2 linked regions of the Coturnix japonica genome follow. The protein of the gene in region 1 interacts with the protein of each later gene in a pairwise test. Links are inferred from orthologs where the notes say so. Each region holds a gene or a part of one and is shown on either strand. Other genes may lie near its edges.

Evidence for each region.
Region 2: the proteins of SP4 (region 1) and NRF1 interact in binary tests that used the Homo sapiens proteins (3 or more experiments, as listed by UniProt). The two-hybrid records come from large-scale screens. The link is inferred for Coturnix japonica from reciprocal best matches to the Homo sapiens genes SP4 and NRF1.

Annotation. Positions count from the first base shown.
Region 1 is NC_029517.1:28,004,129-28,007,949, reverse strand, and holds part of SP4 (transcription factor Sp4), read right to left. Parts: intron 625-3,821; coding exon 396-624; intron 176-395; coding exon 1-175. UniProt on the Homo sapiens protein: Binds to GT and GC boxes promoters elements. Probable transcriptional activator.
Region 2 is NC_029516.1:842,933-846,753, reverse strand, and holds part of NRF1 (nuclear respiratory factor 1), read right to left. Parts: intron 3,722-3,821; coding exon 3,595-3,721; intron 3,055-3,594; coding exon 2,914-3,054; intron 1-2,913. UniProt on the Homo sapiens protein: Transcription factor that activates the expression of the EIF2S1 (EIF2-alpha) gene. Links the transcriptional modulation of key metabolic genes to cellular growth and development.

The sequences.
Region 1 (3,821 bases):
CAACTCATCACTCCTTGTAAATCGCTTGCCACAAAAAACCCAGTTGCATATAAATGGTCTTTCACCAGTATGCCAGCGCAGATGTGCCCGAAGATGAGATGTCTTGCCATAAACTTTACCACATCCTTCAATATGGCAGATATGTTGTTTCTTTTTTCCTGGCTCATTGCTGCTTCTAAAAAGGTAAAATATAAACAGGTAAGTAATTTTATTCCAAAACACTACTAACTGTTGTAGAAAATTACTTCATGATGATAGTTATAACCCCTTGTCTAAAAAGGAATATATAAACATACTTCGCAGTAGATAGCACTAAAAAAGGATACGACATAAGCAAATTAAAAGCCAAAATGACTTAAAGTGTAACAAGATACATTAATAACATTTATACATACCTTCCTTCGCCCTCTCTGCAATTAGGACACGAGCAGGCAACTCTTCTTGTTCTCTTGCCAGGTTGCGCTTCCTGGTCAGAAGCTTGTTGAGCTTGTTGCAGCTGCACTTGTGTTATCTGATCAGGACTAACAGCACCAATTCCTGCATTAGCAATGCCACCTACCGCTACAGTAACAGGTGCTATGGTAGCCTGCTGCACTTTCACTCCATCCTGTCCTTGCTGTTGACCTGTAAAATGAAAAAGATTCTACATTTTCTCAGCCATTTCAGTAAGTGCACAAATTAACCTCATACATCTTACAGAAAAGAAAATCCACTTATAGCTAAGGGAAGCCACAAAACAAAACAAAACAAAACAAAAAAAAAAAAAAAAAAAAAAAGGCTGGATTTAATATAAGTACTACAGGAAGGTGTACCTGCTAGCTTAGACGGTCCTGTTTAACATAATTTGATATAAGAACAGTACAAGGCTACAAAACACTGAATAATATTAAGAAATGTGAACAAGTTTAACAAGTACTCTTTTTCTCCCCTCAAAAGCTCAGATGAGAAAACAAAATCTTAGAAGCACCGTTAAATCCATTTGCCTCGGAAAACTCATATACATTCAGAAAACCAAAAGTAGCTCAATCTGAAAGTAGCTTTATGATATATATAGAACTGTCTCTTCTCCTACAAACTGTAGGAGAATCACTACTGTGAAAGTTCCTATTTGGTTCAGAGAAAAAGAAATGTTATAGGACTAGACTTGAACAAGCTAGCATAGAAGAGCTTATTTCATTTGCAGAAAGAAGTACATTTTAAAGAAGCCTGCTGAATGAGCTTGAATGAATTAAATGGAGTTAAGACTGACTTGATGAATTAACAGTTCAGTTTCACTGCAGAAGCTTATTGATCTCATCAGCTTTCTCAGTCAAAGACATGCAGGTTGACTGTCTTGATCTACAAGCAAAATAAAGAAGACTCTAACATAGCCAAGAAATGAAGTTTCTCGAGCAGCAGGTTACTGTATATTTTCTTAAGAAGTTAGCATGATAGGATCTAGGAAAATAATTTGACAAATAATCTGACACAGAGATACAACTTCCAGTTGCAGTACTACAACACCAAATGCCAGTTCTGCCAGTAAGAGGAATGGGACAAAAGCCCATTATTACACTGCTATTTTCAAAACTTCATTGTCTTCATACAAATGGGAAATAAGAAGAAACAATTTATTGATAGAGTGTAAAAAGCCAGAATTCTTAAAATAACAGCATTCCAAGACCTGAAAGTCTGCAGTGTTGAAGCACTAACTTAAAACTCTGAAATCCTTTAGAGGCAATGGGACTCAGTGAATTCATTTGGGTAACCCAACTTACTTCTCGAGAATCTGTAACAGAAGTCATCCATGAGGACAATACAGAGAAGAATTTTCTAAATTGTCTACCTACCAAGTCAGTCCATATACAATGCAGAGCAGAATAACAGCTACTTAAGTCATGTAACTGCTAAGATAACAGCCATAAATTAAAGCTAAATAAACACCAACATACACATACAGACAAGTTAGGAAAAAAGACAATACACAGAGAACCTCCCAGATTGACTTCGCTGTCATTCAACAGCTTCATTTCACTATAATCTATATTATATAATATAGATTATAATATATATTATATAATATTATATATAATATATAATATTATATATAATATTATATAATATATAATAATTATATATTATTATTTTATATTATTATATATATATATTATATAATATTAATTATAATATTATATAATACACCCCACTATAATCTGTGGGGTGATACCTTGTCATGCTGTTAAGTTGCTGCAGTGCTGACTAAGTGCTATGAACAGCTGAAATCAAAGAAAGTTGACTGTTTTTGTTGTATCTAAACACTTACCTTAATGTGTTCGTGTGATTGCTTGCGTTAGAAACCAGCTGTAGTTCTCAGTTAGTCAAAGGTAAATAAATTAAGAGAGCACTGGTTTCACTTGAAGTCTTTTGCAGAGCATGAACTGCTCTTGGTGTGCTGAAGAGACCCAAGTTGCAAACTTTAATCCACAGGGCCAACGCTACAGTAGATGTCAGTCTAGTGATGGTCACCACAAAAGCTGAAGATATGTATTGTGGCCTCTGTTACTGTTCTCACTAAGAGGTGTGCTTTCAAGCACATTAAGTTATTCTTTGTCATCAGATTCTGTTAAAGGGATGACTCCACCCACATCAAAAAGTCCTACTTGACAAAAGGAGGCCTGCAACCTAACCATTTTCTCTTAATTTTCCTTTTCCCTCTGAGCGTTTTAAATTGATACTGAAGTTTCAGTGCAACTTCTCCCAGGCTGCCAGGTTTTTTCAGTACAATTTGAACCATGCACGGGGTTTCTTTTAAAAAAAAAACAAAACTTTTTAGCTTCACGGCTAGTTCTTAAATGAAAAGAGTCTAACACACAATTTTTTCTGGATCTGAGCAACCTGCGTTTATGAGAAAGCCTGCCTGCTATTTCTAAAAATCTCATATGTTCTACTGATTTGCTATGAATCAACTTTCAGCCTAAACCAAAAGACAAGCATCCACACAAGGGTCTTCTGACATCTCTTCATAACATTCAGCATAACAGCTGACATACTTTCCTGATCTTGAATCTTTGCCGTTTGCTCTCCAATGAATACTTGCGCGGTCCGTGGGAGGACTACCTTGAACAACTTTATACACCCTACAGCCTTAATCTATTCATTAAGCATGATTTAGAAATACACCTCAGAAGCAGCTGTTCACAATAACTGTAAAGGCAACAGTAGAAACACAAAACAGAAAATGACAAAAATAAGGTTGCTTGGGCAAACAATTACACTCTCCATATGATTTCAGTTAAAGAATAATTGAGTTCTCTTTAGATTGTCTTAACAAAGTTGCTATATTTTCTAATGTAGATGTTGATTTTCTTCTCTAGATTAAGCTCTTGGAGTTACCTTAAACTTCTGTCTCCTGAACTCCATTTACTAAGATCAGTATAGAAGTGACTGAAACACTCAAAATACCACACAGTCATATTTGAAGAACCAGACCACAGTACTCAATGAACAAACCTCCACTTTATGAAACAAAAGAATAACTGGACAGAGCACAGTTACACGATAATTATATGTATCCCTGCAAAAAAAACCACCAAGAAGTTCAATATTGTAATTCCTGGACTTTTATTTTATTTTTATTTTTTTTATGGAACTCCTGAAAAAGCACCCAAAAACTAGCACAATAGCAGCAAACATGAAAGATAGAAAGAAATGCATCTGTTTTTCTTCTGTATTTCAAAATTCCAACAGTAAAATAAGTAGACTATTGGTGAACTGAAATGGTTTTCTCTTTTGAAGAAATATTAGAAATCTTCCCCCCCTCCAAGAAAAAAACAACACCACCA
Region 2 (3,821 bases), on another chromosome or scaffold:
GAGACAAAGACTCCACATTTCCAGGGGTGCAGCCAGCAGGATCTATGGAAGCCACGTTCTGCAGCCTCCATCTGTGAAACATCCTCCAAAAAAGCAAAGCCCTTCCCAAAAAGACCACAGCTCACCCTGGTGTCAGCTCTGGGAAAGGCTTTTATAACCTCCAGCATTGAAAACTTGAGAGGAATCCTAAGAAATGTCTCCTTGACACCCTTCGGTCTTCTCAGTTTTAGTACTAAACATGATCAGAGAATTACAGGGGTTGGAAGGGACCACTGAAGATGTAGTCCAAGTATCAATGGAAGCAAACTAACCTCATTTCTATCATCTGCAACAGTATACAGCATGGACAAGAGCTGGGAACAAGGGGTCCTGTGTGAGGAGCATCCAGGGCTTAAGGTTAATGCCCTGATGAGGCTTCCAGAGGGCAAAAAACCTATGGCTGGGAGTCTTCTCTTGGCCCCACATATCTCCAAAAAGCAGCACATGGGGCTCCTGAGAGTAGAAGAGGGCAAAGAAGGAACTGCAGCTGTTTTTCAACAGCTAATTTTAGACCATTTTACTTTTAACATACAGATTGAAAAGCAAGACATGCATCAAGGTTTTTATAAGGTGCTCCAAGCAGGGAGCTGTGGGACTATGGAGCATCCCAGCTGCAGGAGCCCAATTCAGGACAGCAGAACCAGGCATTTCTCCATAGCACATGTACAGCTCTGGCATAGAGCACCAGCTTAGCAGAGCCATTCCTATCTTCTGCACAGATGAGGTGAGTGATGCTCTTTGCTCAGAGCAGCCCTGCTCAGCCTTTATTTCCCTCCAGACCAACAAGGAAGCAGAGCAATTAAAAGGAGAGAGATTTTCACTCTCCCTGTTGAGGAGATGACATCTCTACCACCTGCCTGCAGGCACCTGCAGCTCCCATAGGCACACCTCTTCATGGTGCTGCTCCATTTGTACTTACAAATATTTGGGGTCTCCACAAGGCTTCGTGTTTCCATAGAGTTTTGTGCTGTCAAATAGCTCTCTAGCTGCTAACAGTGAATGGAGTTGTACCAGCAGCTCTGGGAATCAGAATTCTTACAGAAAGCAACAGCATCTCCAGCCATGCAACATGTTGCAGTGATTTAGCTGTTATCATCCACTCTCTCAAAGTAATGTATTCTGAGCCACTGAGGCACAAAAATGACAGCAGCCTCGTCGTATTCAACACATCTGCTTTGTGCTTCTATTTAAGGGTCTGGCAAGAACTGTATGGCAGCTGGACTCCTTCAGGAATGGAATTACCTCATAACCATCACATGTACCATATTTACTCCCTGAATATTCTGCAAGGAGGAACACCTCCTGGGTTGTGAAAATCCACTCAGGAGGCTGCAGTGCAGTCAGTTTTGTCCTCAGATGGCCTCGTGGTATTCAGAGCTCTAAAATTTTAAGAGAACACCTACAATATGTCATCCCTGTGTGATATGCAGGGAAACTGAAATTGAATGTTGACTCCAGAGTCTCAGGAGAAGGGCTGGACTTCAGTACCAGCCCATAATACACACGTAAAGCACTGCAGTACTGGATGTGAAAAGCACAGACTGTCCACAGCTTGGGAGAAACCTTCATAAAGCTATTCTGAGTGATCATGTTGCACTGAAAAAAGGAGAGTTACTCCTAACACAAGACTTGTTTTACCACAGCTCAAGTTCTTTCATGCAGCGTTAAGCAGCCCTATGTTGCTGTGCTGTTGCATCAGCAGTTGGCACAGTTTTTCCCTGCAAAACATGAAGGAGGAAGAAAGGAAGTAAAAGCATTTCTCCTTTAACTGAGCCAAAAGAAGGATAGAACACTCAGTGTTGGGTGGGGGGAAGCAAGCAAACATCAGAGGCACCTTGGTTTGTCTAAATCTTTGTGCAGAGTTTCCTGAAGGCTAAGGACATGTCATGCTTGGAAGGAAAAACCTCATTTTTAGCCTAACATGAGAAGTAATAATATTTTTCTCATAGATCATTGGAGGAAAGGTTGCTTCACTGGAAGAGAAGCAGAGAAAACTTAACTCCTGATGTTAAAATTTTTAATATCCAGTTTTATCATTAAAAAAAAAATAGTCAGCAAAGGGCTGGGCCTGGACAGAAGGGAAGTCCGTATTTCTCCAGGGCAGTCTCCATCAGTATCTCACCCAAGGTTTGATGTGGCCTTAAATAATTGGCAAGCCCTGCTCTGTTCCAGCAGAAAAATGAGGGGACTATCTAGAACACGCAAGAAACAGCCAAAATGGTGCAGCAGAAGCCACCTCCCTGACCTCAGGGCTCAAAAATCACTGTAGTGTGCAGGACCAAGTGCTGCCCCTGTTCATGGTGTATGGGAGGTCAGAAAAACAGCACAAAGAGGGGAGTCAACTCCTTGAGAGGGTAGATAATGGCAAGAGAAGGGGAAATGGTTTGAAGTTCAAGGAGGGAAGATTTAGGCTGGATACCAGGGGGAAGTTATTAACTATGAGAGTGGTGAGGTGCTGGAACAGCTGCCCAGAGAGGCTGTGGATGCCCCATCTATCCCCAGAGGTGCTCAAGGCCAGGTTGGATGGGGCCCTGGGCAGCCTGGGCTGGTATTAAATGTGGAGGTTGGTGGCCTTGCCTGTGGTGGGGATAATATTGGACCTTGAGGTCTCTTCCAGCCCAGGCCATTCTTCTGTGAAAAGGGGTGCTCCCTACAGCCTCAAGCTCTGAGAAACAACTCTGCTGTTGCTACATGCAGAAAATAAGCAGCAATAACAAAGCTTCACATCTAACTAGAGCTGTCACATCCCATGGGAAAGAAAGAAGAGACCTCTGGAGATGCAGACATAAACTCCGGTGCAGAATAACAGGATGCGACTGTAGGATGCCACATCTCTCCCTGGTTCTGCTGAATTTCTACCATGCTTGTGCTTACCTGGGTCATCTTGTCCACTGAGACTGGAATGCCATCAATGGTGAGGGGTGGTAACTCTGAGTTAACCTCCTGAGGTGCAGGAGCGTGCTCTGCCAGCGCTGACTCCAGGTCTTCGAGAATCATGCTCTTGTACTTGCGTACCTGTGGGGAATTGTTAAGCTCAGGTAAACAAAGTGAGGAGCACCAGGAGAGGAGAGGTGAGCAGCAGGGCCTGTCGCCTTCCCCAGGGTGCTGGGGAGATGAAAGAGCAAACAATTCCATGCAAAAACACCTGCAGGCCCCAAAGGCTTGGCTGCATCGAAGGATGATGATGAAACGCTGGGTAACATCACCAAGTGGAAGGATTTGTGGGATCAAAGTTAAGTTCAGAAGTCAGACTTATCATAGTCAGGATCTGCTCCATTTGCTGGCAGGTCTGTGGCAAGGAGCATGCTGTGCTCAAAGACATCCATCGTCACCCTGCACTCTTAATTGAGGCTATTAGCCCTGGGGAACTGTGCTGGACAATCAAAAACTACGCAGAGAAGACAGGAACTCAGTGCTCAACTCACGTTTATACACTGAACCCCTATTTCCCGGGCCTTAAATATGACCTTCAGATCACTGCCAGGCTCACAAGGCTGCTCTGAGCCAGAATTAAACCTGCAATTTATTGTATGGCTTTTTTCTAGAGATACCTACCACATTCTCCAAGGGTGCAGCTCCAAAAACTTTGAAGACGGGGTTGGGTTTGGATGGTGAGATACACAGGACGATGGCTTGCTGCCCCACTCTGGTGGTGTACTCATCCAGCGTGGCACGGAGCTTCCTGAAACAGAACCAGTGAACAGGTGTCAGCTGAGAACCCTGCAGAAACACGACCCTTCCCATTGTCAGCTTCCTTTTTGGATGCATCCCATTCACAAACC